Diceros bicornis minor: one gene and its partners. The protein of the gene in region 4 binds, or shares a complex with, the protein of the main gene of each other region. Links are inferred from orthologs where the notes say so. Each region holds a gene or a part of one and is shown on either strand. Other genes may lie near its edges.

What was found.
Region 1: the proteins of GNAQ (region 4) and F2RL1 are in contact, whole or in part, in a cryo-EM structure (PDB 9D0A), measured with the Homo sapiens proteins. The link is inferred for Diceros bicornis minor from reciprocal best matches to the Homo sapiens genes GNAQ and F2RL1. Residues at the interface, in NP_002063.2 of Homo sapiens: Arg37, Ile323, Tyr325, Asp346, Ile348, Leu349, Gln350, Asn352, Leu353, Glu355, Tyr356, Asn357, Leu358, Val359; in NP_005233.4 of Homo sapiens: His108, Pro109, Ala110, Met114, Gln172, Arg173, Val176, Ile177, Pro180, Met181, Gly182, His183, Ser184, Arg185, Met265, Met268, Leu269, Met274, Asp275, Asn277, Lys280, Lys281, Arg284, Ala285, Leu288, Ile289, Tyr344, Tyr345, Val347, Ser348.
Region 2: the proteins of GNAQ (region 4) and PLCB3 are in contact, whole or in part, in a cryo-EM structure (PDB 8UQO), measured with the Homo sapiens proteins. The link is inferred for Diceros bicornis minor from reciprocal best matches to the Homo sapiens genes GNAQ and PLCB3. Residues at the interface, in NP_002063.2 of Homo sapiens: Pro185, Thr186, Thr187, Ile189, Glu191, Pro193, Arg202, Gln209, Arg210, Ser211, Glu212, Arg213, Arg214, Lys215, Trp216, Ile217, His218, Val240, Glu241, Glu245, Glu249, Glu250, Ala253, Leu254, Arg256, Thr257, Ile258, Thr260, Tyr261; in NP_000923.1 of Homo sapiens: Pro257, Arg258, Leu259, Asn260, Glu261, Val262, Leu263, Arg707, Asp709, Lys710, Ile719, Asp721, Gly722, Ile723, Val724, Ala725, Ser845, Asp846, Tyr847, Ile848, Pro849, His852, Tyr855, Ala856, Ala858, Leu859, Ile860, Asn861, Pro862, Ile863.
Region 3: the proteins of GNAQ (region 4) and CASR are in contact, whole or in part, in a cryo-EM structure (PDB 8SZG), measured with the Homo sapiens proteins. The link is inferred for Diceros bicornis minor from reciprocal best matches to the Homo sapiens genes GNAQ and CASR. Residues at the interface, in NP_002063.2 of Homo sapiens: His63, Leu196, Gln197, Ser198, Ile323, Tyr325, Ile337, Arg338, Phe339, Phe341, Ala342, Lys345, Asp346, Ile348, Leu349, Gln350, Leu351, Asn352, Leu353, Glu355, Tyr356, Leu358, Val359; in NP_000379.3 of Homo sapiens: Lys644, Ala645, Asn647, Arg701, Val702, Leu704, Val705, Phe706, Ala708, Lys709, Ile710, Pro711, Thr712, Phe714, Phe801, Arg873, Thr876, Ala877, His879, Ala880, Phe881, Val883, Ala884, Arg886, Ala887, Thr888, Leu889.

What each region holds. Positions count from the first base shown.
Region 1 is NC_080740.1:5,975,859-5,982,969, forward strand, and holds the start of F2RL1 (proteinase-activated receptor 2), read left to right. Parts: upstream 1-4,108; 5' UTR 4,109-4,284; coding exon 4,285-4,366; intron 4,367-7,111. UniProt on the Homo sapiens protein: Receptor for trypsin and trypsin-like enzymes coupled to G proteins.
Region 2 is NC_080770.1:8,734,916-8,742,268, reverse strand, and holds the start of PLCB3 (1-phosphatidylinositol 4,5-bisphosphate phosphodiesterase beta-3), read left to right. Parts: upstream 1-4,343; 5' UTR 4,344-4,415; coding exon 4,416-4,514; intron 4,515-7,101; coding exon 7,102-7,179; intron 7,180-7,353. UniProt on the Homo sapiens protein: Catalyzes the production of the second messenger molecules diacylglycerol (DAG) and inositol 1,4,5-trisphosphate (IP3).
Region 3 is NC_080754.1:23,112,358-23,120,347, reverse strand, and holds the start of CASR (extracellular calcium-sensing receptor), read right to left. Parts: upstream 3,004-7,990; 5' UTR 2,822-3,003; coding exon 2,637-2,821; intron 5-2,636; coding exon 1-4. UniProt on the Homo sapiens protein: G-protein-coupled receptor that senses changes in the extracellular concentration of calcium ions and plays a key role in maintaining calcium homeostasis.
Region 4 is NC_080761.1:16,150,983-16,158,890, reverse strand, and holds the start of GNAQ (guanine nucleotide-binding protein G(q) subunit alpha), read right to left. Parts: upstream 3,013-7,908; 5' UTR 2,888-3,012; coding exon 2,752-2,887; intron 1-2,751.

The DNA of each region.
Region 1 (7,111 bases), on a different chromosome or scaffold from region 4:
AGGTGGGTGCACGGCTGGAACAGAATGAGTGAGGGCAATATAGGAGATGAAGTCAAGGAGGTTGTGTGTGTGTACAGGGGAGGAGGGCGGGGTGTATAAACCTGTGACAGACTTTGGTTTGTACTCAGAGGGAAGTGGGGAGCTACTTCAGTATTTTCAGTTGGAAGTGATCTGATCTGATGCACATTTAAACAGGTTCACTCTGACCGCTATATTAAGAGATGACTGTGCAGAGGGTCATGGGCAAAAGAAGGAAGACAAGTTACAAAGCTATTGTAATAATCTAGGCAAAAGATAATGATAACTTGGACCATGGCAGTATTTTGGACGTGTTGTCAAAGTAGGATTTGCTGATAGATCAGATGTGGAATATAAGAGAAAGAAGTCAAGAATGACTCCAAGATTTTTATCAGAGCAACTGGCAAGTTGGAGTTGCAATCTAAGGAGATGAGAAGATGATGAGAGGCGTGGGGTGGATCAGGAATTTAGTTTTGGACTTATGCTTGATATGCCTATAGTCACGTGCAAGTGGAGATGTTCAGTAGCTGGATGGATATGTTATGTGTCTAGAATGGAGAGATCTGGGATAGAAATACAAATTTGGGAGTTGTCAGCATATAGATAGTACTTAAAACCACAGGACTGGATTAGGTCACCAAAGGAAATGAGTGCATGTTGCCAACAAAAGAAGTCCAAGGAGAAACCCAGGGGCACTCCAGGATGTAGAGTTCAGGAAGGTGAGTGAGAGCCGGAAAAGAACCAACACCTTCTGAGTTGCCAGTGAGGTAGGAGCAGAAGCAAGACAGCAGTGGTCCTGGGGGCCAAGTGAACACAGCATTCAAGGAGGGAGAGATCAGTTGTGTCAAATTTCACTGTCAGGTTGAATAACATGAAGACTGAGAATTGACCAAAGGATTCACCACGTGAAGGTCACTGCTAACCTCTTCCAGAGGTTAGCACAATGAATGAGTGACTGAATGAATGTAACTTTTCCTCCCTCTGTATTTGACTAGGACCCAAGAGTGCAGGAACTGTGTCTTTGTTTCTCCAGGAAGAGTTTGATGAGTTTGATAAATGATTGTAGAATTGATTGAATGAAATGACTTTTCCCTCAGTGTCTGGCCTCCCCAGTTCCAACTGTATTTTCCTTAGACTTGTAGAAGGTGGGAAACTGACAAAGTTTTCAATTCCCAGAAGCCAGGCTGTCTGGAATTGCCCAGGGGTCATTTTGCTGTACTGTTCACAGAGCCAGACAACACCCCAAGGCCTTCAGGGCAAAGGAGTCATCAATATCTAAAGAACAAATACTGTCACAGGAAAACTTCTGCCAAGTGACTCAGATGAATGTAGTTCATTTAGTCAGGCTGCTGGGAGCAATCACATTCTTGAGATAATGAACTCATAGCATTGTTCAATAAAATATTTTCTTGGAAATTCTGATGATTCAGGACATATTTCCATAGGATACCAGTGAAAAATTAAAGTGGAAAACAGCTGGACTTGATGCATTCTTCTCTGAGAAGAGGAAGAGTCATTGGGGCAGTCATTCTACAGGAGCCACCATTGCTTGAGTGCCTACCAGATACCAAGAACTGTGCTAAGAAGTCTTCACGGGCATTTAGCAACCTGAATCTTCACAACCACCCTCCAAGAAAGGTATGACCATATCATCATCCCCAGATTGTAGACGTCATAATAATAGGTCACAGATGATGAAATGGAGGCTTAGGAAGATCGAAGGGACATCATAGGGATTGAGTATCTTCCCTAGTGAGGGACCCTCAGGAGTGACCTGATCCCCATCAGGAGAACTGTCATACAATAGGATGAGGCAGTCCCCAGAGCTGCTTCTAGAAGCCAGCTTTTCCTGGGCATAGGCTGAGGCGTGTGGCCTGGGAGGCAGCATCCTGAGAGCTGGAGTGCAGGTCGTGAAGACTCCTGAGAGAAAGGAAGGAAACAAATAGAATGTTTGTTGAACTTCTATCGTGCATCAAGCACAGTCACAATTTACTTTATCCTCAGACAACTTTAACCTAACAATAATTAACTCCATTTTATAGGTAAGGAACCTAAACCTTAGAAAGGGTAGGTAATTTGTCCAAGGTCACACAGATGTTAGCCAGAGGAGAAGCCAGAATTTGCCCACAGGGTTACATGGTTTCAAAGGCTAAGCTCTTTCCACATTCCCAAAAGAACTCACTGGAGACACGGCAATGAGAGATTCCTAAGAGATGGGCCTACTGAAAGGCAGCCATTGAAGAGAATTGTCTCATTCACCAGACAGTTTTCCCTGGCCATTCTTGTCTGTGTGTGTTGGGAGGCAGGCCATTCCTCTTAGGCAGGGAGAAATTATTCCATTCTCATGGCGTGTTCAGGGCCATTTCCTTCTCTTCCTTTTCAACCATTTATTTCCCTGCTCTGTGAGCTCCTCTGTCAGGGCAGAGGGAAGAGGCATAATGCTAACCGTCCCCTTAGGTAACTTTGGGGAAATGATTGGGGATATGGTTGAAACAACTGGCTAACATGACATTTTATACAATTTTGTCTGCCTGAATTATCTGGAACCCACATTAGTTCTGTTAATTGGCCCCATGGTGGGTTCAGCAAGAGGTCATACAGAGGACACAGGGCCTTTATCAGATGTAGGCTCCATCCTAGAAACTCACAGGCCCAAGATTGTGGCTGTTCAGTTTATGGTTGTTCAAAAATTAATGATGGTCACTGGCAACTGACTCACCAAACTCAGGTCTTCTGGGAAGAATCATGGACTCTCAGGGCTCAAGCCCCTCAAGAGGTTATCTGGACTCACCCAATCTGGCCCCTAAGCCTGGAAGGGAAATCCCTCTCCAACATGCTGGACCCATGCCCTGGTCCTTGGTGGCAAGCGTGCAGCCGTGTGGACCTCAGCTTCCCCAGTTAGAAATCTCTTTCTACACTGAGCCAAAATCGGCCTCCCACTGTGGCTTCCACCTGTTTCTGCTCTGGAGCTACTCAGAAAGCATCTAATCCTCTTCTACATGCTAATCCTTCAAATATCTGAAGACAACACTTGCCTTTCTCTTTTCTGCTCCTCCGCTGCCCAACAGTTTAAATGGATAACAGTAAACTTTATTTTACCTTTTCAAAGCGAGTAAAAAGTAAGACATTACCAATATGATGAAGGCCCTTGTGCACCCTCCCCAGTCCCTCACTCCTCTCCCCATCCCCTCTATCTGCTTGTGTATTTCTTTAGGCTAGGGGTCCCCATGCGGAAAAGACCCCGGTGGAAGCATTTGCAGCGCAGTGATTAATAGAAGAAAGTGGCAGTCATAGACTACAGTTTAAATGTGATGGAGGTTTACAAACTGTATCTATAAACTGAGTAACTGTCGGCAATTTATCCAACCTAAGCTCCATTTCCTCCTCTGTAAAATGGGAATAATAATCACACATATTGTGCGTCGGGATTAAACTAGACAGTGCTCCTAAATCGTTAGCACATGGCACTTAAAGTAGCTGTTCGAACTGTTTTCTGCCCTGCACCTCACAGACGAGGAAATGGGCCTAGAAGGGGGTGGAGAGGTTTGTTCGAGGTCACAGCTAGTTAGCACAGTTGGAAACCTAACCCCAGATCCCTGACCCCTCCCGCCGGGACCCCTTCCTGCTCCCCACCGTTGGTGTCCGCAGCCGTCCATCTGCCCCAACAGATTAGAAACTGCCCCCTCATCCGACAGTGCCCACCACACTGGGAAGCCTCTATCAGCTACAACAAGTGCAGTGAGCTCGAGTCTGACTTTTGGCCATGTAGGAAATGGGAGGGAGGGAGATGGACGATACTGGCTCCCCTGGATCAACGAAAGGTTAAAGGTAGTTCTAGGCGTTGCCCAGGCCAGGATGACCCCGCGATCCGAGCGCTCCTGCCATTTGCATTCCAACACAGCCACTTCACCCGCCCAAGCCCGCCCTCGGGCGGGTCCGGCAGCCTGGCGGACGCAGCTCGGCACCGAGCGCGGAGCAGGGGTGCGGAGGCCGGGGCGCCCAGCCGGGTGGCGGCGGGTGCGGCCGGGCGCCCGCTGTGCGGGGGGCGTGGCCTCGCGGCGCGGCGGCCCCGGGGCGTGGCCTCGCGCAGGTGCGGCGAGCGGCTCTGGTTTCGCTGCAACTTCTCCGGCCCTGGGGAGGCGAGCGCAGAGGCTCCCGTTAGGGGCAGGTGGAAGGTGGCTTTCTCTCCGCGCGGCGAGCGGGCTCTGAGTTTCGAATCGGTGGCAGCGAACTGCGCGCCCGCCGGGCGTCGGGGCTGCTGCAAGGATGCGACGTCCGAGCGCGGCGTGGCTGCTGGGGGGGGCCATCCTGCTGGCGGCCTCCGCCTCCTGCAATCGCGCCGTCCCAGGTGAGAGACTTGGCCGAGGGGGGCTCGTGCCGCTAGGGAGCGGGGTCCCGGGCGCCTTGGGCAGGTGGTGGAAGCGGGGCAGGTGCGCGCAGGGTGTCCTGCTGCCGCCGCCGCCGCCGCCTCGCCGCGTCCCGCAGCCTCCGCTCGGCGGCTTTGATGGGGGGATCCTGCGCCCGGGGAGCACCAGCTGGGACAACCGGGGAGGCTGAAGTCGGCGGGGAGGAAGAGGAGGGAACGGAGAGCTCGCGGGTCCCCGGAGGGCTCAGCCTCCTCCCCGGGGGTGGCTTCTTTGCAAACACTAAGTCATTAGGAGCTTTTCGCGCACCCCGGCGACTTCCTCCAGGCTGGCCCCGTGGGACCCCTGCAGTTAGCGAGGTGATGGCTCAGGGCGGGGTGGAGTGGGGGGGAGCCCGCGGCCTGGAACCTTCTATCTCGCTTTTTGCAACCCTTTCAACCTGCGGAGCCCCCTCTTTGGGGTCGGCCCACGGCGTTCGAGACCCGCCCGGGCCCCGCAGCTCCTCTGGCGCCGTGGACGGCCCGGGTGTGAAGTCGGGGCCGGCCCCCGCTGGCTTCTCGGGGTGACGCGCGCTCAGCCTCGAGTTTTAGGCCAGTTGGGCGTCACGCGGGTTTACGAATGGAACTTCTTGGACCCTGCCTCGTATTCGACCAGGTGACCTTACGGCCTGGGCCTCCGGGTCCTTCCGTGGCACACGCAGCGTGCACTGGCGGCCCCTCAGGGCTGCAGGCCGGAGGCTGTCAGCCCCGGGCACGGAACAGCGCGGGAGCCGTCCGGGCGGTGCGCCGGTGCCAGCTTGTGCGCGGCGGCCGGATCCGCGGGCGGCTGCCCCGGGTGTGCTCCAACTTGTCCTGCTGGGGGTGGAATCTCCCGGCCTGAGCAGGCCTCTGAGGGCGTGGGGGAGGTTTGGCCTGAGGTCAAGCTTCTGTGATGCTAACGGACGCCCCGCGGTTTCGGGGAGCCAGGGTGGCCTTATAAGGGAGGCTTTAATTTCCCTGCGAAATTTGCAGACCTGCTGGAAAAGGCAGTTTCTCACTTTTATCCTCTTCATGAAGACGTTTTAAAAAGACCAGATCACTGTGAATTTCAGTTGGATTGAAGAGTATGATTCTTTTCCCCCCGGAGTTACGGAATAGGATGTTATGCTGTATATTTGAAAACTGCCCACTGTATACATTTTATTGATCAGCAACAGGAAAGGCATTTATTTCGGGGAAGTATTGAAACCGTGATGAACACTTCTCCGTTTGCCTTTGTCTTTTAAAGTTGGAAACTTAAAATTCAGGAGCAAAACTTAGTATATGCAAACATTTTTTAAAAACATGTGAATGTAGGTGATTGAACGCTTTTATGATTCAGACAGTTCCTATGGGAAGCTGCCCCTGAGTGTTTGGCTTGTTCTTGTTTACAAAGCGAGAGGCAGGGGAGTATAAGGTGAACTTGATTTAACAGCAAAAAAATCAAATTACTTGTTAACCAGAGCTATTTAATATTGTAGCTTGGTTTTTTTTTTGTTTTTTTTTTTTGTTTTTTTTTGTTTTTCCTTCAGACTTCTATTCCTTTGCAGTTAACTTTGCTAAAGGGTAAGCTAATTAATGGTGAGACATTCGGTAGATGGAGCTTCCTCCCAAGTTGAAACTAGGTTGGTTTTGATTAAGAAATACAGCATCACCAGAGTTTCTCTGCCCCTCGGCACCCGTTTCCTCATCCACTTTCAGCCTGACTCGCAGGCCTGCTCCTCAGTTTGCCACAGGGCAGATATTAGGTTTGATTTTCTTCCCAAAGGTCTCACCCCAGAAGACTACCTCATGGCAGGGACCTCAGCCTGGAGTACCACCTTCTCGTTTTACAGACAGGGCCATTGAATTGATGGGGGGCAAGGAAAACACCCCGTCAGGCCCCTGCTTTCCTTCCCATCACAACAGTAATTGATAATTATTTGTGTAAATATGTTTAATCTGTCTCGCCACTGGATCATATATTCTGGGAGGCCGGGGACTCTAGCATCTTCTCCATCACCATGGTCCAGCACAATCTCATTATCTAAAGGACCTTGGTAAATACCAGATAAAGAATGAAGTGAGGGGACTTGCCCAGTGACCTGGCAGGTGGATGGCTGTTTGGCACTTCAGTCGGCTTGTTTCAGGCACTTACTGTTTTCTACCGTGTCATCAGCCTGGGAGGTCCCCTATAATGCAGTAATTCCATTTTTCTTTTGGAGACTGAAACTTCTCTTTATAATTGATTTTTAATTATACAAGTAATGTGTGTTGACTGAAGAGGAAAAATGAGCCAAAAAGTGGGGGGAAATTTAATTAAGTCACCTCAGTTCCCAAAGTAACCACTGCTAACATTTTGGTCTATATCCTTTCCCATGCTTTCATATATCCATGCATAAAATATGTACTGAAAAATATAGAAAATCTTTTTGTACAAGTTTGGAATTATATAAACATCAGTAGCATGTCAGTAAATATAAAACATCTTTAATGACTCTAAAGTATGTTATAGGAGGATGTATCATAATTTTTAAAATTTATTTATTTATTTAAAGAAAATCCCTCCCCACCAAAGCCCCAGTGCATAGTTGTGTATCCTAGTTGTAGGTCTTTCCAGCTCTTCTGTGTGGGACACCACTTCAACATGGCTTGATGAGCGGTGAGTAGGTCTGTGCCCAGGATCTGAACTGGCAAACCCTGGGCCGCCGAAGTGGAGCATGCAAACTTAAC
Region 2 (7,353 bases), on a different chromosome or scaffold from region 4:
CGCCCACCGGCCAAGATGGCGATGGGGGACGGAATTATGGGAAATGTAGTTCGCTGGGTCCGACCCCGCATGGCCGCCCCTCCCCCGCAGCGGAGCCCTGTCCCGGGATCGCAGAACTTCTTTGGGGCACCCTCCCAGGGCTGGCCTCGACAGGACGCGGCCCTCTGCACCCTGCAACCTCTGCGTGTACAAACGAGGAAACTCAGGCGTAAAGAGCTAGGAAGTGGGGGAGCCAGTACTCATGATAATAAAGATAATAATAACAGCTGACCCATAATAAGCGTTTCTCGAGTTGGTTCCAGCTGGTGACAGCACCGCGCTCAGCTCTCCTGCAGGTCCTCGCCCTGCGCCACCCTCTGTCCTGCAGATCTCACAGGCGCCATACCTGGCCCACCGCTCTTAAGCGGACCGGGTCTATGTTGTTCCTGCACCCACCCCGTCTGATTTTCTGTCTCTTTCAATCGTCTCTCCCATTCACTTGTTCATTATCTGTCTCCGTCTTCCAGACTGTGAGCTCCACGGGGCCGGGACCTGTCCAGCCCTTGTTCACTGCTGATGCCCAGGGCTGAGTCGGCCTGCTCGGGTTCAAACCCACGTGTATTGGGCAAATTACCTGATTCTTACTGAATTCACAGCACCTATGTCAGACTCATAGTAGGTGGTGGAACGAATGACTGAATGGAAGAATGAATGGCTTTCTCTGTGCTTCCATTTCCTCAGAAGGTTGTGGGGAAGATTAAACAGGAAAATGCATGGAAGGTTCTATGACTGCACTGTTAATTAAGTCACATGAACCCAGGCTGTGTGCTCAAACCCCACGACACAAAGTCTCTACTCAACCCCCCTCCTCCCCTTAGATACCACCCGACAAGGTTGTGCAGCTCCTCTGGGATGCTTCTGCAGATGGCAAGATCACCCCCTGAGGTCCCAAGCAGAGTCTCAGGGTCTGAGAGGCAGTGTTTCTGTCTCAGCCCCTCACAGACACCCGCTCTTTGGAGGCCAGAGAAGCCCTCTGCAGCGGGCAGATTCAGAGAGGGGTTGAGACTGGCCCAGGGTCACACAGCTGGTGCTGGAACCAAACTCAAACCTAGGACTTGAGGCTTACCCTGTAGTTGGGGAGAAGAGACAACAAGAAGGCAGAGGCTGGGAATCGTATGTGTGTGTTGGGGGGTGAGGTGGGCTTCTCGTTGAGGGGCTGAGTGGTGGGCAGGCTCTGTCCAGTGTGGGTAGAGCAGGCTGACGCCTCTTCCCTCCCCAGCCCTCCTTCTGGCCTTAGCCTCCCTTCAGCCAGCCTAAGGGGCCAGGAAAGGGCTGACCCTTGCTCTTACAGATTAGGCAGGAGCCACCCTTTCCCCTGGGAGCCCCATTCCCAGCCTGGGCTCTGGCTCTGAGCCTGGCCTGATGGAAGGAGCAATTTACCCAAGTCCAAATTCCCCACCACACTCCACCTCACCTCACAAGGCAGTCTGCGCTTTCTGAACCCAAGCATCGATTCGGGCCTTGGGGGCACTCATAGTTAAGAGGGGGGATATACCATAGCTTGCTGTGGGAGGAGCCTACAGGCCATGAAGACCTGGGTGACAGCCCCAGCTCTGCCCCCCAGATGCTGTGACCCTGAGCGATGACCTTCCTGTCCCTTCTCCCCTCAGCCCAGTATGAAGTCCTTCTGTCATGTCCAGATTTCAGGGTACCCCCTGGGGGTTCTCTGGGCAGGGCAGGGAGGAGCTGGGGATGCTCTTCCTGACTTGCCCCCTCTCCACCTTCTACGCCACTCCGAGGGCACTCCAAATCCCGGGGGCCCGCTCCCTTGTCCATCCAGTCCCTTCCCACGGCCACTCCCCACCCCCACCCCAGAACAGTTAGTGCAGATGGCCATGATGGCCTGCAGCCTTCTTGGAGGCTGGCTGCCCTGCATAGAAGCTTGGAGTGGAAGAACAGGGTTCAAATCCTGGCTCTGCCCAGCAGGCTAAGAAGCCGTGGTGGGCAATCACTTACCTGCCCTGAGCCTCTTCAAGGGGCTGATCCTACGGACCTCTGGTGGTTGGGGTCTGAGAGCTCGGTGCTCCGGGGCCTGCATCCCAGCCCTTGCTCTCCTGCCGGAACCCTCCTGGGACTGAAGCCTGCGGCGGCAGCGGCTGCTCCTCATCCATCCAGCCTCAGGCTGTGGCCTCCCCAGCCCCACCCCTTCTGGGGTCCCGGCCCCTCTCCACTGGAGTGCAGCTGAGGCTGCTTTCAGCGCCTCCTTGAAGCAGAGGCCCTGGGGAGGGTCCTGTGGGCTGCGACCGCTCCCTTAATTGAGGGTAGAGGCCGGAAAAGCTGCCTTCCTTCCACCATTACTGCTTGCCGAGAAACCCTATTAACATTACCAAGGATGGGAGAAAGTGGCTAAGGAGGAAGGAGCCCCTCTAATGGGGGCTGCCCTGGCCTCAGGAGACATGGGGGTGGAGGGGAGCAGGGGGGAGGCTCAGGCCCAGGAAACAGGCTCCCATCCTGTTTTACAAGGAGCTGCTGCTCAGCGCTTCTAGGAAGTACCCCCATCCGAGGCCCAAGGCCTACAGCTTGGACCCCAACACCCTGGCTCCAGGCCCTGCTAGCCCTGGCATTGGCTGCCAGGCCCCAGCCCCAGAGCCGACCCGTGCCCTTTCCTCCTTCCTCCCTGATGCCCCCACAGCCTGCTAGCCATCCCTTAGATGTCCAGCTGCCTGCAGCCAGGGGACATCTCATATCCATTTGCTTATTTCATCCTCCGAGAACCTCCAGCTTCTAGACAAGGTGACTGAGGCCAGAGAGACTAGGTCTGCTGGTAGACTTGAACCCAGGCCTGCGGGAGCAGAGGCCAGTCTCCACCCTGTATGGCTCTGCCCAGTGAGACCTGGTGGTCCCTGGGTCTCTCAGGGGGATGGCTCTGCTGCTCTGGTGAGACAGGATCACAAGTCCTGTCCTCCTTTTTTTTGTCTCCTCAAGGGCAAGGAGTGGAGACAGGATGTGAGCCAGCCTTCAAGTCAGAGGGCTGAAATCCTCCTACAAAGCTGTGTGGCCTTGGGAAAGTCCCTTCCCCTCTCTGGGCCCCAAGTGAAGATAATAATCACACCCCGCAGGGCCTTAGCAAAACGCAAGTAGCTTTGTTATGTTAGAGTTGGTGTCCAACATGGTGGGGATCTGGAGGACGGCCAGTGCTACGCAGGGCTCCCCTTGGGGGTCTGAGAGCCCGGGGCAAAGGGGCCTGCAGTGCCCGCGCCTCCTCAGCTGACCCCTCCTCCCCCAGAACCAGCTCCATCTCTTTCTGGGTTTCTAGGTGACTTGGCTGGCCCCTCTGGATGAGTTCTACTTTAAACCTGCTGCTGCTACTGCCTCTGTATTGGGGGGGCTCCCACAGGGGCCCCCAGGCAGGAGCCCCCCCAGCCAAGCCCTGCGGGAGGGGCCGCAGTCCCCACCCATCCCAGTGCCCATGCGCCTCCCCCCTCCCATCCCTGGAAGACAGCAGATTTCAGGGCACCTGCTGTGGGCCAGGCCTTGCAGAGCCCCTCCTTAACCCCCCTTGTTAGGGATGCCCACAAGGATTCAGACCCCTTTGCAGTTTTCAGCGGTGAACCTCACAGGGACAGGCTCCAGGTTGGGTCACGGGTGTCTGCGGAACAAGAAGGGGGCTGTTCCAGGGCTCGCTCTGGAAAGGCAGGATGCTTGGGTCCTCAAAGCAGGCTTAGGCGCCCGGCCTCCCCGGGCTAGGGACGGGGGAGGGGCGCCTGCAGGCGCGAGGCCCATTAGCTGGCTAAGTGCTCCCAGGGAGGGGGGACCGCGCTGCTGCAGCAGGGGTGAGGCGAAGTGAGGGCGGGGTGGGTGGTGGGTGGGGGAGCTGGGGGGGGGCAGTGGCTTTTCCTGCACTCATCTAAGTGCTGCAAGAGTGGGGGCGGGCAGGGCTCTATGCCCCCCGGCCCAAGTCTGCCCCTCCAGGAGTCCCCCCGCCCTCGCCCCTCAGAAACCTTAGTAGGCCGGTCTTCATCAGCGCCCTCTACACCCAGTCCCTCCAGCTGCACCCCCAACAGCCCCCTTGGCCTCAAGCGCCCCCCCCCAACCACCCCGGGCGGGTCCGTCTGAGCCCCCAGCACAGCGCCGGGTCCAGGCACGCCCCCGCCCCATCCCGCTCTGGCTGCAGTGGCCGCCCCGGCCGCCAGGGGGAGCCGACGCGGGGCGGGCGGGCCCGACGCGGTGGGAGGGGGCGGTACCGCCGCGGCCCCGCCCCCGGCCCGCCCCGCCCGGGCCCCGCCGATTCTGGTCTGTCCGGGACAGACTGGCGGGCGGGCGGGCGCTGACGCCGCGGGGCCGGAGCGGGCCGCGCGGGAGCGCGCGGAGGGAGCAGCGGCGCCGTCGGTCCCCGTCGGGGCTCCGTGGGTCCCCGGCCCGCCCCCGGCCCGGCCATGGCGGGCGCCAGGCCCGGCGTCCACGCGCTGCAGCTGGAGCCGCCCACCGTGGTGGAGACCCTGCGGCGCGGGAGTAAGTTCATCAAATGGGACGAGGTAAGCGCGGGGGGGCCCCCTGCTCCGCCGGGACCTGGGGACTCCCTCATTCAAGCTCGGCCAGACGCCGGGGACCCCCAGCCCGGCTCGGCCTGGCCAGGGCGCCCCGCCATCCCAGCCTGGCTGCGCTCCGGAAACTTGAGTCCCCAGTCGTCCCCGTAACGAAGACTTTGTCCCCGACCCCCCCGCCCCAGTCCTTCAGCTGCGGAAAATTTGCCTTTCCACTCTTTGACCCCGAGACTTCGAACCCCAATAAATCCCGGCCCCCTTTTTCACTCGCCCTTCCCACCCCTCCCTGCCGGTCTAATCCTGGTTCCCCAGACCGTTGTCCGGCACTGGACTCTCTGGTTCGATGGCCCCCAATCTGGCTCAGTGCACCTTCAATCTGGTTGGGTGCCGCCGGGACCCTACTTTTCCTAGTGCCCTAGCCTGGACATTGTTCTCCATTCATCACTTCACCCTATTCTGGCTGGCACCCCGGCGTCTGGATCCCAGCCCAGCTCCCTGCTCAGGTGGGAGCACCAAGTCACCCCCACTGGAGACTTTGCCCCCCAAGTTCCTCCATCCCTGGGGAACTTTGCTCTCCACTCCTTAGCATCGAGACTTTGAACCCCAATAAATCCTGACCCCTCTTTCTAGCTGCCCTGTCCTGGGTGCTTCCCAGGTGCTCCGGCCCCCACCTGCGGCTCCCCGACCTGGCCCGCGCCCCACCCTCTTTTTCACACGCCCCCTCCTCTGCTCTCTGGGCCCCTCCTTCCCCAGGGCCTCCACCCGGCCTGCCTGAGCTTCCTCGCTGCTCCTTCCCAGTCAGGCCAGAGGCCTGGAAGACTCTGGGCTCCTTTCCGGCTGGGTGGGGCTGGTAGGCGTGGGAGCTGGGGGGAGGTGCTGGGGGCGTGGCCTGGGGCAGCAGGTGTGCCTTAGAGGGGTGCCTGGGAGCCCCAGGAGCCCGGGGAGACCCCTCCCCGCAGGCAGGCCTGAAGGAAAAAGTTTCTCCTTTTCCTTCCAGTGTGATAAACCCAAATAAGGAAGTGGGAACAGGGAGAGGGCCCTGGGGGTGGGGTGGGGGTTGCTGACAAGGACTTGGGGCTAGAGAGGTGGGGGCCTGAGCTGCTTTGAAGGCCAGACCTCTGGGGAGGGGTTGGGGGAGGCCCTGGGGACAGGACCCACAGAACTCCCCCCTCCTCACACTATTGGGGAGGCCTGAGCCCCAGGGCAGGGAATCTCAGAGAGGGGCTGAGGGTGGGTGTCAGCACAGCGAGGTGGGGAGACCCAAGCATCCCCAAAGTTCCGGGGCCGCCTCTCTCCTCTGTCCCCAGATCAACCTCCCGTCCTTTGTAAGCAAAGCCTGAAATGGGTGGGGCTGATGCAACCCCCATTCACCTGAAGAGGAAACTGAGTCTGGAAAGTGGAGACTAATCCCAGGTTGTGGCTGAGGCTGGGGACTGGGAGCCTGGTTCCCTGCTTCCCTGCCACGGGACTCAGAAGAGATGCGAATGCTGGCGCCTCTTCTTGACGTTACTCAAGCTACGTAGCCTCGGTGTGCCTCAGTCTCCTTGTCTGTTGAGTGGGCGCGAACTTCCTCGGGTTGTTAGAGGACTGAGTGAGCTTCCGGATGCGGGAACTGTACTCGGTGCACAGTAGGGGCAGCGTGAGGACGGGCTGTTGTGTTGATGATATGAATGTCCACCAGTGAGCAGTCTGGGGGTGCACCAAGGTGACATGGGGTCCTCTCCTGGCCCGAGGAGCCTGGAGCAGGAGGCTTCTACCTGTGGCCGCCTGGCCACTTGGGCCGTGGCCAGGTCTTAGCCCCTGATGACCCCCCGTGGCTGCTGGCCCTGGGTGTGTGCCAGGGACCAGGCCCTCCTCAGAAAATGGGGCCAGCACACCCTTCCCTGCCCTCCTGCCTGCCACAGAATTCACCGTCCAGTCCTGAGAGCAGGGCGAGTCCCGTTCTGGGGGGACTCAGTCCGTGCTCTGTAAGATGGGGGAGCCGCAAGTCTGTGAGGATCTAGTGGGGTGCAGGGAGGGGGGTAATGGACTTAGAGGCAGATGTAAGGGGTGGCTGGTTGTCGTGGGACCCCGGGGGACACAGAAGGGCTGTGGGAGTCAGACTTCCGAACCCTCTGCTTTTATCCCATAAATATTCCCTAGGGGGTTCAGGGGGGCTTCAACCGTCAGGGAGCTCTCAGACCTTCTGGGGAAACTGAGCCCTGGGCTGGGGTCCGAGGAGGCTTCCACAACGAGATGGGTCAGATTTCACGGGTAGAGAAGGAAGGAGAGGATATCCCAGCAAAGGAACAATGATGCAGAAGCTGGAGGGGGGAGAGGGTAGTCAGTGGTCCGTGTCACAGCCTTAGGGCGAGACAGAGGTGAGGATGGGAGTGACCCAAATGTCACACCTAGGACCTCAGCTTTGTCCTGAGGACTAGGGAGCCACACCGGACCTGTGGGCTGGGTGAGGCTTGTCTTCACTTACTGGCAGAAACGCTGTGGGGGGAGGAGGGTGTGGTTGGCCCCAGGGGTCCAGGGACCAAGCCTGGGCTGCAGCCCCTACTCCCTGACCCCTGCTGTCCCTTCCTGTCCCCAGGAGGCCTCCAGTCGGAACCTGGTGACCCTGCGCGTGGACGCAAATGGCTTCTTCCTGTACTGGACAGGACCCAACATGGTGAGGGCGGGCACTGGTGCAGCTAGCTCAGGTCAAGGGCCCCCACCCCAGACCCCTGACCGCCCCCGAACCCCGGCCCATAGGCGTGGGGCCGAGCTGTGGGCTGACCTCTCCCATGGCTCCCTGGACAGGAAGTGCTAAGGGCAGGGGTGGGGGCTGGGGCTACAGCAGGGG
Region 3 (7,990 bases), on a different chromosome or scaffold from region 4:
ATACCTGGAAGAAAGAAGAGATGGAAGGAAATGGAAGGCTTTCTGGTCAACTGTTTAGAGTAAGAACTGGTCAAAGCTGGGTTTGAACTGTGGCTCTGTTACTCTTTGGTTTCATGACGTCATGTTTTTTGAGACTCAAAGTCCTCTCCGTAAAATGGGGATAACACCTACCTCATAGGGTGGCTATGAACATGAGATTATGTACAGCTCTCAGCATGGTATCTCAACAGAGTTAGGGAGTAATAATAATGAAGGTTGTTATTAGTAACAGAAAGATAATTTGTGTCTGCTTCATGCAGAAAAGAATTTGAAGTAGCTGATGTGAGGTTCTTTAATAAAAGTAACATAAAGATTTAAAAAGAAAAAGGACCAGGGAAAATATAAATAGATTAGGATTTTAATATGTGGGAGCCTAAAAATAACTTCAGATTTGCAGAGTCACAAATTTAGACTATGACATTCCTGGAGGTCAAAGGGGAAAAGGAAATCAGTGATCTCATTTTTGTAAACAAACAAACAAATATTATGCATTGGAAGGCTGTTCACAAACAGTGGTTATTTCTGGGTGGTAGAATGATGAGTTTTAAAATTATGTGCTTTTGTTTTATTTATACTTTCTATTTTTAAAAAATGAGCATGCGTTGCTTTTTTTTTTTTTATTGGTTTATAACATTGTAAAAATTTCAGGTGTACATCATTGTACTTCTATTTCTGCATGGACTACATCATGTTCACCACCAAAATACTAATTACAACCCATCACCACACACATGTACCGAATTATCCCTTTCACCCTCCTCCCTCCCCCCTTCCCCTCTGGTAACCACCAATCCAATCTCTGTCCCTATGTGTTTGTTTATTGTTGTTATTATCTACTACTTAATGAAGGAAATCATACGGTATTTGACCTTCTCCCTCTGACTTATTTCACTTTGCATTATACCCTCAATGTCCATCCATGTTGTCACAAATTCAAAGAACATTATTTTAAATAAAAATCAAGCAAATTAACAAAGAGAATTAAGGTCAGTGACATAGTTTTCACTCTCCCAAGACTTGGCTCAGACTGAGGGCTCAATAAACATGCTGATTCAGTATATCAGTGCCCCAAGGAGAAAACGTAACAGCTCTGCAGGTTCTCTCTTTATATCATGGTTTCACTACTTGACCTCAATGACAGGAGGTGAGAAATACAATGTTATAGAAATACAGAAATACAATCTGTTGTTTAGGTTCCTAAAAGTCCTGGTTTAATTGTTAACGTGACATTTTCTCTTAGTCATTTTCTTTACGTTTCCTTCATTTGTTTGTTTAATTACTTGTTTTAAACTTGCAAAGTTATTAAGAGGTATATACACGGCACATGCACAACTCTGTCCAGCAGGGTACAACAAAGAGGATATTTGTCCACCCAGGTTATGTGAAGGATATAATCAGTCTCAGTGAAACTCTGCACTTAGTTTTTCTGCATTCATAAGAAAAATGTGAAAATGTTATCTAATTTGCTAGCTCTTATTAGAATGTGAACAGAAATCCAGTTTTCTTAGAACAATCCTAGTTTTCATTTTCATTTTCCAGGTATCAGGAAGACCAAGGAAAAGTGCTGGATCCCTTCTGGAAGTTGCAAGACTCAGAGAGAAAGAGCTTCTCTCTCCTAGAAGATGGATCAGGACATGGGGTGCAGTAATGGTCTCTGATGTCCAGATTAAGGGAGGTGATATACAGCTCACTGTACTCTGCAGAAGTCAGATCCTATTTGAAGGAATTGTGTCTATTTTTAGACGCCATATCCTAAGAGTCATGATAATTAGGGAGCATCAGATGGAGGGCATCCAGAATGGTGAGGGGTCTGGACATCATGTCATGAAATAATTGTTTAGAAAACTGAGACTCTTTGACCTGGAAAAGAAATGATTCAAGGGGACATGTTAGCTGTCTTCAAATGGCTGAAGAGAGAGGTCCAGTGAGAGAGTTAGATGGATTCTGTGTTTCTCCATCTGTGTTAGATGGATTCTGTGTTAGCAGGGGGATTTCAGTTTTCTATAAGAAAGACTTTCTAATGGGAGTGGTTCCAAAATTCTATGGGCTGCATTTCGAAGATGCCTGGGTCATGCCACAATGATGACTCAGTTACCAAGTGACCAGGCATGTGCTCCAACAGGCCATGGATTTTTCTACTCAGTATCTTTGACATTTTATTTTTGGCAAAAATTCCTTAAAAAAAATTCTTTGAAAAAAATTTATTTAAATTCTTTAAATAAAGATTCAGCATGAGTACCAATCACTATTTTTGTGTGTGTGTGTGTGTGTGAGGAAGATCAGCCCTGAGCTAACATCTGCCAATCCTCCTCTTCTTGCCGAGGAAGACCGGCCCTGAGCTAACATCCACGCCCATCTTCCTCCACTTTATATGGGACGCTGCCACAGCATGGCCTGATAAGTGGCGCGTGGGTGCGCGCCCGGGGTTCCGAACCTGGGCCACGCAGCGGAGCGCACGCACTTAACCACCACGCCACCGGGCCGGCCCCACCAATCACGATTTTTGAAAAGAGAGAACTAAATTTGAAAAAATTCTTTTGTGTTTAGTACAGCTTTTCTCCAACCACCCAGAAGAGAGTCTTGGCTCCTTCCCTTACCTGATACATTCCACAGACTCTGGCCTTGATTCTAGATCTTGATCTTTGGCTGCTACTCCAAAATGGATAGGAAAGAGCCCCCCGAGGATAATGTCCCCTTTTTTCTGGGCTCGCTGGTCGGGCCCATAGGCGGAAGAGCACCAGGTAAAGGCCAAGAGGATCAAACAGCAGCTATAAAACGCCATAGTTCTGCTTTGTCTCCAGGGGGGAAGACAAGAGTGCTGGTGTTTTGGGGGCCCCGAGGACTTTCCCCCTTGGTACAGTTCACTCCCTGTGGTGGGGGCACATGTCTACAGATCAACTAGTAATAAGATGGAAGCCATGGTGTTTGAAATTCCATTTCTGCCTTCTCCGCTGCAGACTAGTGAGGTGGGTGGTCCTTGAGTCTTTAGAAGCCACATCATGTAGAGACTGTCTGTGGTGCTTTCTAAAAGAAAAGAGAGACAAAATGAATTCAGCTAAGCCTAAATCCCATGTAGTTATGATGAGTGCAACAGAGGTGGCTCAGAATTTCCATTGAGAGAGGCTGAGGGATAGCAGGTGGGGAAGGCATGGCTTGGAGTCTTCTTTTTATAGCATTTCATGAAAGGTACAGAAATTTCAATTGCCTGTATCGGAGAAGGACTGTGTTCAGCTGTAAGGGGCCACATTTTAAAGAGGCCGTTGATAAGCTAAGGCCTCCACTGATGCTGCCACTAGATTTTAATCCATTCATTTTTATGCATGAATAATGCACAGAGTTGGCCTGGTAGTAGCATGATAATATTAATGATATTTTATTCAGCACATATGTTCTTATAGAAAATACAGAATGAGTCATATTTAGGTTTAAATCTGACTTTAAATCAAACCAAAATGTCAGAAAAGGCCACTTATTCTTTATTTATTAGCCCCCCTTTTCTGTGCTTCCTCATCATAGATCTCTGGTTCCAGTTTGTAATATGACACTCCATAAACCTTTGAAGAACAGTTCTTGTAAAGGACGCAGATAAATCAAGGGTCAGATTATACTCTACAAAGCTCAACAGCTGGATCTGGGGAAAAGTCCTTCTGCTTTAGCACCATTATCCTAGTAGGAACTCTCTGCTCTTTTCACTCTATCTCACCCACCCTGTGGGTCAATTACCAACTATATGTCAGTGTATCTAACTACAGACCCTCTGCTGAGGTTGAGGCGCAAGCATTGAACTGTCAACTGGACATCTCTACCTGGATGTCCCAGAGGTGCTTCCAACTTGACAGGCTCTAAACTCACCTTCCTCCCAAACTTGTTTCTCCTTCACTGTTTTCTATCTCAGCAGATGACGAGCCATCCACAAAGACACAAAATAAGGTGTCATCCTTGCCTCCTCCTTCTTCTCATCATTGCCCTTCATATTCAAACCACCACCAAGTTCTGTAGATTCTACCTCCTAAATCTCTCTGGAATCCATCCACTCCTTCCCATTTACAAGGCCTTCTTAAGTCCACCAGCATTTCTTACCTGGATTTCTCCAACTATTTCCTAACTGCCTTCCTGCTTTCAGTTTTATCCCTTTGCAGTCCACCTTTGCAAATCTTTGGATGCCATGGAACAAGTGGTTTGGAGCACAGGCTCTAGAGTTAAACCTGGCTTTGAAGCATAGTTTCACTATTTCCTAACATATGACTTTGGGAAAGCCACTTAACCTCTGTGATCTCAATAAAATAATGCATGCAAAGCCATTAGCACAGTGTAACTAGTAAACTCACAGAGAATGCTAACTGTAATGAATACGTGTCCAGCCTCACTCTTGCCAGTCTTCCCTTTGAACTCCACAGCCCAGCCACACCGAACTCCCTTCAGTGCTTCAAGTACACCAGAACTTCTTTAGATCTCACACATGCTGTTTCCCCTCCTTGGTCCCTCTAGCCTAAACTTTGCCTGGAAAACATCTACTTATCGTTCAGCTTTCAGATGTCCTTAACTGCGGGGGCATGGCTTGGTGAACTGTGGAGCCTTTGTGTGAATGGACAAAAGAACTCCTGTGGGGCAGACACAGCCTTGGGCCAAGGTGTCCAGCTTGGGGAGTGGAGCACAGGCCATATTTCCACCCTTGCTAACCCCTTAGTTGTGCAGTGAGCAATTTATAGGATTCTTCAAGGAAGCCTTCCCTGGATTCTCAGACTAGGTAGGTTCGCCTGTTATAGTCTTTTACATCTTGGATCTTGGAGGTCCCCTCTTGGAAGATTCATCATACTTTATTATAATTACATGTGTAAAGTCTGATTCCAGAGCCCAAGCTCTTAACCATTGTCATCTGCAGCCACTTGCCCTTTAGGAACCACACCTTACCCCTCAGGAACCCCAACCCCTCCTCCAATAGCCATTCTAGCACTGGGCCCCATTTGGAAGGAGCATCCCAATAGACACTCAACATTCATGGAATTGTCTCCAATAATGTCTGAACATCCATGACCATCCTAGTTCTCTGATTCTAGCCCCGCTTTTAGATTTTTGGGTTGGACCTTGGTCATATATTCATTCATTTAATAAGTACATGTGCTAAGGCCTGGGAATATAAAGGTAACAAACACACGCATGTACCCTGTCCTCAGGAACTTCCAGTGCAGTGGACAGGCACACTGGTGTAGAGCATCAGAATTTACGTCAACATTGAGCAGTGAAAAAAAAATATTGTAACTTTGTTTTCTATGACTACATTCAACTTTACGCCTCAACATTTAGCACGGTGTCTAAAGTAGTAACTGCCAAATAAATGTTTGTCGAATGAATGAATAAAAAGAGAAGGTACTTTGGAAAGAGATAGAAACTAGCATTTATTGAACCAGGCATTGCTTTAAACATCCAGTCTATTTTAAACTTCACAACTGTAAAGAGGGCAATACCAACTCCACTTTCTAGATTAGGGAATAGATTCTCCATATTTTCAGCTTACTCAAGTGAGAAATTCTGGCACTTGAAATAAGAATGCCTCAAGAACTCGGAATTTTATGGAGTCCCGTGTAGTGTACTGATTTAGGAGAGGGAACATTACAGCTGGCTAGGGTGAGTCACTAAAACCTGCGAAATCTTTCTTGTGAAAGATTAACCACTAGGAGAAGTTTATTAACTTCATTAGCCCATTCGACAGGAAATTCATGGCCAGAAGTAATAGACGAAGGAGAGATTTCAGGTCAATTTGCAGCAGTTAACTCCATCAGTCTCACATAATCTCCAAACCACCCTTTTTAGTCCAATTACCAGAATCTAATTTGCTTTCAAAGCTGAGATTCACTCTAGATCCTCCCCCTCCCTTTCCTCCAATATCCAATCACTCTGTCCTGTTGATTCTACCTTCTCTCTTCACTCCTCCTCCTCTCCATTCCTGTTGCCACTGCCTTGGTCCCCTCCCATCATTTCCTCAATTTCCCTGTTGCAAATGCTTTCTTTTCTTTCTACCTCCTCCTCCTATCTCCTAGGTATCGACAACTAGAGTGGTTCAAGTATGATCGCAGCATGGTGGATGAACAATTGGAGTTCATCATTGTGACTTCAGCTTGCAATAGTTAGAGTACAAAAGTTCTTGAATAATCACTAAGAACACTTCAGTTTTAGTATCTGCGAGAGAGACTTCTAATCGTATCCCTTGTATCTGTACTCCTTTTATGCCACCGTAAAATAGATTTTAGTTGGACAAGTGTCCAAAATAAAGACTACTTTCTCCAACTTCCTTTGAAATTATATGTGGTCATATGACTAAGTTTTGGCCAATGGAATGTAAACTGAAGGGCTCTGTGGCAGCTTCCAGGAAACTTGGTGTTTGCCCTTTGTCCCTTCCTCCCCCTCTTTCCCCATTCTGCTGCGTGGAGGTGGATGTGACAACTGGAGCCCATCTTGAACCAAGAGCCATATCCTGGGGAATGATTGTGCCACGAGCTGAGGATTTCATGGAGCAGAACCTTGATTTCAGACTATTCCTGGGCTTTTGCATGACAGAGAAAAAGAGCTTCTAGCTTTTTTAAGCCACTGTATTTGTATTTTTTCTTACTGTAGCTATATTAACAGTATTTATCCAAGAGTTACAAATTAGCTCATTTGTTCTCCTTACTATGAGTTTATTTCATTTAAACCATATATAATCATGTTTGTTTTCCTGCAAAAAAAGTACTGCAAACACAAGCTGAAGCTAGTATTTGCTCTTTCTCTCAATGGCAGATCCATTCTGGAAGAGGAAATGACCCATGGACCAGCTGGTATTATGTTTAGAAGGTCCTTGAAATCATGAGGAGTGTTTGAGTACTGACAGATGATTGATCATTGAGTTCCCCACCCAAGAGATGTAGGATGGGAGATCAGGGCAGACTGGTCTATGGTTCCACAGGTCTGTGCATTTGTAAATTCATGCAATTATTTACTCATTCAAAAAACATTTATTGAGTTCCTCTATGTGCTAGACACTAGGGAGTGCAAGGTGCTCAGAAAGAAAGTTGAGATTGTTGCCTTCAAGGTGCTCATGGTTTAAAAGGAGACAGAAAGATGTATTATAATTACAGTGATGCAAATGCTAGGAAGAGGCATAAACTAAGTGTTGAGGGAGCAGAGAGCAAGGACTTCTTTCTGGTGACGGCAGGAGAGAGAATTAAATCAAGGCGGGGACTGGGAGCTTCATGAGGGTAGGGCCTGTCTCTTTTCCCCCTCATTGTAGCCTCACACCAAGCACAGGGCCTGAAACTTAGTAGATGCTCCACAAATGTTTGCTGAATAAATGAGTGAAGCATGAACAGTAAAAACCGAGGCTTTGGGCAATTTTAGGACAGAAGAGGGAAGGGGTCACCCCACAAGATGGAAGGTTTCTGAGGGCAGAGGCTTCTCATCGTGATCACAGTTGTATCCTGGCATCGAACAAGGAGCCTGCTACTGAACGGATGCTGAAAAAATATCTGCTGAACATGCATTTGTCTAAAAAGTTGGATGGCTCATCCAAGTCAAGAACAGATTAACAGAGGATAGCAAGACAAGGTTAGGAATCAACACTGCAACATTTCAATTGCCATCCAAGTAAAAACCACTTTGGCTCTTGCTCTTTGGCTTTAACATTTCTGGAAATTGTGTCACTCTAGAGCACAATGACTTTGCCCACATTTCCAACTAGACCAAACCGAGGCATAGATCTTCTGACCATAAAACCACTCAGTAAATTAGAGGCATGGCAAGCTCAAAAGCTACACTTTCTCAATTCCTAGGCTGCAGAAATAAAAATTCTAGGTTGCCTAGAAAAAAGGTAGTTATGAAACCAAAATTGATTTCCCACAGAGATCATTTATCTTCATATGGTGAGTACACTGATTTGTCTCTGGTTTATTGTACTGAAATCTTTGCTTTCTTTTGTCAC
Region 4 (7,908 bases):
AAATCTATCTGAATCAAAATGGTGTCATGCCTTAAACTAAAATTTACTTTGAAAATAATTTCATACTGAATTTCATGTAAATATGAGTGATTCCTCAATTTGAATAAAGTAGTTAAAAATATTGGTAAAACTTTCAACTATGCAAGGATACATCCTGTGACCTTCTTTGGATAGGTACGGTTTAAAAGAATGAAGGAACCAGAAGATTCAGTGCACTCATCAAAGGAACACACCGGGAGTTTCTCAAACCCCTTGCCAACACCTTCTCTGGTTCAAGTCAACCATCATTTCTCTCCTGGACTCAAGAAATCGTGCAATCACAGGCTCATGAGCACACATAAATCTACAATTAGTATATAGCATCTACTACATAAATAGTGGAGGTATTGCAGAAGCTATGTTACAAAAGCAACACACCCCAGAACAGGAAGCTGTAGCAATTCTTACATGATGTCTAGGGATAATGTTTCTAACAGAAAGCCTTATAAATTTTAAGTGTTACTAATGAGTGTAGGTGCTAAATTAATGTCATATTTTTCTACCACTTCCAATAGAGCATATTTGGAGGTGGGGATGGGGCTGTATTAAACCTTACTGAAATCTAACAACAGAAAACAAAAGTTCTCCGAACTACCACCACTAGCAGTAAAACTGTTTTACTTTAATTTTTTCTCATAAAATTATCTCCAAGTTCATTTTTTAAAGCACAGTATGTTATTTAAACACACAGTTTGTAGTTAAGCATCCATATATGTGTATTTCCCCAAAAATCCTCCTCCTAGACATTCAAACCTTGGGCCCCCAGACAGACAAACCCCCTGGGCTCTAACGCACAGCTGCTAGGAACCCAGAGCTGTCACATTTTGGGCAATAGGGTTGGCTTGGGAGACCTCAAATGCCCCATTCACAGCAAAACAGAAACAAAGACTGTAAACAGGGCAAAAGAAATAGAAAAACTGTTCTTAAGTCTCTCTAACACACATGCTTTTCCCCTTAATCGTGTACTTAAATACTCTATATACATTTCTCCTGCCCCTTCTATTTTCTTCTCAATCTTGAGAATTCAGAAAACCGATTCAACTACACAGTTTTAGCCATTAGAAGTAGCCCAAAATGAGAATAAAAACGAAAAATAAAAAGATCTTCATTTTCCAATGGCAGTTTTCCCTTCCCCTGGCTTCATTCCCTAAAGCCTACCTCTTTTATCCAGCATTCTGCCTTCTCTTCTTTATAAACATGTGCACATTTATCTAATCTGGTTTCAAAATGAAGACATAGAGCACTGCATGTGAATTAACCATTTGTAACTCTCCATGATCATTATATTTCATTCCTTCTTGTAAATGATCCAGTACATAAGCAGTTCAGTCCCAAAGGCCACTGGTTGCTTGAACCAGGAGATGGAATGCTCAAGATAAGAAAGAAAATGCATGCTTCTCAAATCCTGACAATATAACGTCCTTTTCTTACAGAAATGTCTGAGAAACGTATTTATTACACACCAAATATCCAGAACACAAGTGGAGACATTTTTCAGGCCTGTTATTGCAAAGCTGTTTGCTCTTCCTACCACAATAGCTCAGAGCTGTCACACTGGCTTGTATGTGAACCCTGATCGTTCATTCTGAACATACTCTCAGAGATAATAATCAATAGAATTCCTATCTGAGAAATGGCATTTTCTTGCTAACTTAGTGTTAAGGCAGAATGTGGGATTGTTTTTTTTAAGAGATTAAAGGGAAATTTTTGCTGTATACTTTCCGTTTTCCTTCTAGCCCAGATTCCAAAAATATTAAAATGCTGTCCGTTTTAAACAAAAGGTTTCTATTTGTTTCCACGGGAGTAATTGAGAGGCTGTACTGGTTTTCAGTAGTAACTATTGTGAATTCAGGCCTACATCTGGGTTGCCTCATTAAACAAAAGATACTCGTCGCTGTCAACACACAGCACAACGCTCCCCTATCCCTCATCTTTATCTAGAAGAAATGGTGCAGACGAGAAACACGCCTGTCACCATCCACTGGTCAAGAAACTCTTCTAGGTCTCTCCTTTCGGTGGTCTGGTGGCTGGAGAACAGCACTTATGTGACACATTAGGGCTCGCCTCCCCGCCCCCAGAGTACACAAGCCTCCTTTCTTTGGAGGGCCAACCACTCGGCTCCCTCATCATCACTGCCTGGAGAATCCAGTTGCGAGTCTGCCCACCATTCCACCATTCCCTCCTGAACCCAGAAAGCACTAATAATGGATGCACACAGGCCACCCCACCGCACGCCATCCCCCAACGTACCCTGGCTCCGCTCGCCACCCTCGGGCCACACACACACAACTCCCCACTCCACCACCCCACCGAGCGCTGCGGCCACCACACTGGAAGTTCAACCCCTCTGCCACCTTCCCACCTCCGCGCCTCTCCCCCGAAATGATGTGCCATTTAGCAGAAGCACAGCAGATAAACGCGCACCCCTGATACACAGCCTTTAGGGACACGAAAAGGCACACGCCGAGGCTCGGGGCAGGGCCACCCCGACCCCTTTGCGCGCGCGCCTGTGTATGTGTATGTGTGTACGCGCGCGCGCGCGCGGGTGCGGGTAGTGGCCGGGGGCGCGCCCGGGAAGGGTAGGGGCGAGCCGCCGGCGCCCGGGGGCGAGGGCCGCGGAGGGCACTTGCCCCGGGGCACCGAGGGTGGCAGGCGGAGGGTGCAAAGGCCCGGCGGGTGGGCCCGCGGCGCCCGGCCCCGGGCTGTACTCACCGAGCAGCAGCAGCTTGAGCTCCCGGCGGGCGTCCCGCTTGTCCCTGCGGAGCTGCCGCTCGATCTCGTCGTTGATCCGCCGGGCTTCCTTGGCCTCCTCGCTCAGGCAGCACGCCATGATGGACTCCAGAGTCATTCTTCCAAAGTGCCTCCGCTGCAGCCCCGCCGGCACCCCCTGCTCACACGCGCGCACACACACCCTCCCGCCCTCGCTCCCCCGAGGCAGCGGTGGCCGCCGAGCCCCCGCCGCCCGGGCGCGCGTCCCGGACGAGCCTGGGGAACGGCCGCGGGGGCCGCGGCCAGGGCCGGGGCCACCAGGTGGGCCGGCGGTGCGGCGCGAGCAGGCGGCTCGGGCCGCCGGGAGGAGCGAGGCGGGCGCGGGAGGCGGCCGCGGGCGCTGGCTCGGGGGGCGCGCGAGGTAAGGCCGCTGCGCCCGGCCTCGCTCAGACGCCCGCGCCTCCTTCCCCGGGAACGGGCGGCCCGCCTCGCCCCCCGCGCCGCCGCCGCCGAGGCTCCCCTAAGCCTTGCGCCCGGCGGCGAGAGCACATCCACTGGGGCGACCTCGCAGCGAGCGGCCGCCGACGGCTCCCCGCGCCCGGCGAGCCCGCTCCTCGCCGCCGCCTGGCACGGCTCCGGCCGCTCTCGGCCCTGCCCGCGCCCACCGCCCGGCTCGCGCGCAAACCCCGCTCGCCGGCCCGCTCGCCCGGCCGCCGCGCGCTCCCCGCCTCCGCCTCCGCCTCCGCCAGACGCCCACCCCCGGCCCCGATTGCAGGCGCGGAGCGGCTGCTCAGTGCTCGCCCTCCCCTTCGCCACACACACACATTTTCTTCTTTCTCTGAACTGGAGCACAGATCCGGGAGGGAGGCGGCGGCGGCGGCGGCGGCGGCGGGAGGGGGAGGAGAAGGAGGAGGAGGAGGAGGAGGAGGAGGGGAGCGGGGAGGCGGTGCCGCCCGGCCCCTCCTGGAAAGCTTTCCTGGGCTCGCAGCCGCGGCGCGCGCCTCCCCGTGCGCCTCTCGCCTCTCCCGCGCTGCTCCCCGGCTGGGCCGGGCCCCCAGGGCTCGGGGCGCCTCCCGCTCCCGCACCCTCGGCGAGGTCCGCGGGCGCAGCGGTCACGGCCGCCCCCGGCGGGGATGGGGCGGGGTCGGGCCGCCGCGCCACAGCCCGGACCGGCGGCCGCTGCCGCGAGCCGGGGCCGCCGCCAACCTGCCGCTGCCGGCGGCCGCCCGGGCGTGGTGGAGCAGGAATATGGCGGCCTCCGCTTGCCTTTCAGCCCACCAGCCCCGGAACGCGGCCCCGGCCCTCCGGGAAGTCGCGGGATTCGGCCCCGCGCACCCCCTGCCCCCCTGGCGCCGCGCACCCCCGTCCTACTCCCCGCGGGCGGCCGCGGCACTCGGGACCCCCCTCCCGGCAGCGCCGGTCAAGCCCCCGGGGCCGCTCTCAGCCACTTCAGTGTTGTCTGCCGTCTCTATTCCTAAAACGCCATGCGGTTAGCAAGTATCTCGCGTCACCTCTGACCCCAGTTCAGTCGCAGAAAATAAGATACCCTCTTGAAGTGCGACTGGGGAAAAGGAATTGTCACTGGTTGCTGGAGGGGTGGGGGGAGCTTAACAGGCAAAACTGGCCACAAAGTTCCTGGAGATAGAAATCTAAATCCTGAGCAGAAAAATGAAGCTGCCCAGGTTTCCAAGAGCCTCCTGATAGCTTCCAACTTTTCATGCCATGGAAGGTGTTTTTGTTTTGTTTTGTTTTTTACAAGCGTTCCTCTATTTTTGAAAAGGCACACGATGTTTAACAGCCAAGTAATCGAATTTACCCTTCTAGACCGAGACTGAATTATGGATGACTTCTGGGAAAATGCAAAATAATGTGAAATAAAATAAAAGGAAAGAACAAAAGAGAGAAATGGGAAAGCCAAGATCGCCCGGGCAAAGTTTCATCTAGTATTTTGTTTTTACACTTGCGTTGCAGACTACTTAAAACTGTTGTTTCCTTATTTTGTTGTGATATACGACTGATAAATGGCCAAAAATATCTCCTTGCTCATTCAGGTTTTTTTTTTTTTTTTTTGGATCTAATAGCTACAAGACGTGAAACTCATACTGCTTTCTGCCTTAATGGAACCTGAGGTCTTGAGAGTAAATTATATGTTAAGAATGGAATCTCTTTTACACATTTTGTGTTTTCTCTGAGATGTCTCTGGTGCAACCTGCTGATCCAGGGTGTAAAGTAAGGTCATGATTGTACTATTGCCACAGGTCAAGAGTGCACATAAGCTTCCTGAACCACAGCTGTGTGACTACCTTCTTTCATTTGCCATTACCTTTTACCCTTCATACACACACACACACTCACTCTAAGCCAGAGCTTAGATCAATCAAGTCATCGAGACATAAGATCTGTATTTTAGGCTCCCTTTTTAAAAGGATATTTGGCCTACAAATGATTACATTTCACCTTGGCCAAAAGAGCAGAAAGGACAACCCTCACCCCCCTTCATGTGAATGCCTACAAAAAGCCACTAGACTTGCTGTGAAGTTTAAAATTAAATGACCAATGAAATTGAAGATTGAAATTCAATATGCAGAAATTTTAAATGGCTTCAGGGGAAAAACTTAATTATAAGTTTGCATCCTCTAATAGATGGATATATGTGAGCTTCAGAGAGAGACAAAACACCAGAAGATAACATGACAGTCAGGAAGCTTCAAGTGTCTGGTTTCCTAGCCAAGGATCCCCTGAGATTTTTGAAAATGTCTCTCAAACTGTGCCATGAAGCTATCAGGTAATCCATTTTGACTCAATTGACCTATTTTTTGATGAAAGGAATTAAACTGTTTCAATAGATTGTAGATACAGTCAAAGTCTGTTCTGTCACCCCTGTATCCCTAGCATCAGGGGCATTCCTTGGCACTTAGATATTTGAATGGATAAGACAAATCAATAGAAGGATGTTCCTTCAAGTATTGGGAAGAAATCAGGACGTAAGGAAAACCAACACTTGACAGTGATAAAGCCATATACGGATGTCAAGAAGGAAACAGGAAAAGAAAATTCCAAGTCTGAGCCCAGATCTATCCAGAAACCTTTGCATATATATCTGGAAAGGATTTGCCAAGGAAATATTCATACAACCTAAGTCAAGCAAACAAAATCTACGAAGAAACTACTGCAGTTGTGGACCATGTTTTAGAAGCAAATACTCTAAAATATGCAACTAAACATGGATCATGTTACCAGTCCCAGTTCATGAAATCAACAAACATTCATTGCCTACTATGTGTAAATAACTAAGGTAAAAGTGCAGGAAGAGGGAGGATACTAAGATGAATACAATATGGTCCTTGCCCTCAATAGGCTTATAGTCTTACATCATTATGAGGCTTTGCACAGCTATAGTAAAAGACAAAATGAAATCAATTTATATTAAAGTTGGCATAGAAGTAACAATATAAAGGTATAAAAAGGAAGGAATAATTCATTCTGTTCAGGAGAACTGGAGAAGACTTCACAGGAAAGGGAACTTTTGGATGCGTCTTAAAGAATGAATAGGTATTCAATAAATGTGTATCCACACCACTAAACAGTAAATCAGCAATTCCAAATCACCCCCAGTAAGATGATAAACCATTTTGAGGATTCAAGGGCAATTACTAGATAGCTGAAAAGCCAACCACAAAACCCTAGGAGCACTGAACACCAGAGGAAAATGGGAAGACTGTCACCTCTTCTATGGTATCCTGAGACAGATACCTATCCCCATGATCATATGGCCCTGTTCCTTGGGTGCTGGAAAAGAAAAGCACCAAAAGGCATAGCTGAGTCTCTAAGAGTGATCCTAGAGTAAAAGAGTGGAAAGGCCATACTCTTCTACAAGGAGCTCCTGGGGAAGGAAAAGCTTGCACTTCTGTTCCCAGAGTCACTTAGCGTGGCTGTTCACAGCGTGCACTGTACGGCTGTAATTGTCGATTTCTCTCTCGCTCCCTTCCTCTCTCTCTCTCATGAGATTCAGAGCTGCTTGAGAGCATAGACCTTGTTTTTCATAACTGTTTTCCGGGCACCCAAAAGAGTGCCTAGCCCAACAGTTTCTCAGTGAGTGATGAATAAACAAAAGAATACCAGAACCTGCATCCACAGCACACACACTCACAGACTGCTGTCCCAGGCAGTGCACTCTGCCAGACGCCTGAGGCAGACAAGGCCCTTACAGGCTTAATCATCTATTTGGGCAGACAGTCCACATGCACAGAAGAATAAACAACAATGTGAAATGGGAAGCACTCGCTGCTAACATACAGTATGAGAATGGATTGCTGGAGGAGTTCAGAAGAAGGAGCAGTTATCCATTCAAAGCAGCCCGAAGGAGTAGGGGTCACCTGAAAGAACAATTAGAAGTCAGCCTGCAGCACTGCACATCCTGCGAGAGCTTGCTGGCACAGCTGTCTGGCCAAGGAGTAGAGGCCTTGCTGGTGGGGAAGTCAGGCGAGCAGGCCCAGGGAGACTGAGAGAGCTGCAAATGGCACCACCTAGAGGACAGCTTTCATAGCAGAAAGATGATGATTCTTAGTTGAAAAAGGGTTTCAGGGTCAACATGTTGAAGATGAAAGACCAGGCATGAAACAGAATACCTTCTTCCAAAAGAGAAAACACTCACCCTGCAAAGCCACCAAACAGATATTCTAGATAAAGCAGAGGACCTCAATGACATCTTTCCATTACCACCTCAGAAATGCGTCCAAATGATGCTCTGACCAATCCGATGTACCTATTCTGGGCTCATCCCAGGTTACCGTTATCACAGGAGCCACTGTACCTCACAGTGTAAAGGCTATCAAAGTCCCATCAGACTGGAAGTCCCTAAAAAGTTGTCCAGATGGGAGCTATTTTTAAGCTAAGTAGACCAATGTCTCAGCCAGAGAAGGCATTTACTAATGTTTAATGAATGAATGAATATGTACCAAAATCAGATAGCAACATATCGGGTCACCCCAAATCATGATCCAGATCCTTCTGGCACCCAAAGAATCAAGGATGACTTCGCTAGTAGAGGAGTTTCCTTCCTGCCCTGGAGTTGCTCCAAGTGGGAGCCACCAGACCTCCGACTCTCTGCTTTGCTAGACTCCCACCTAAGACCCAGGGTGCAAACTGGTGGTCTTTGGG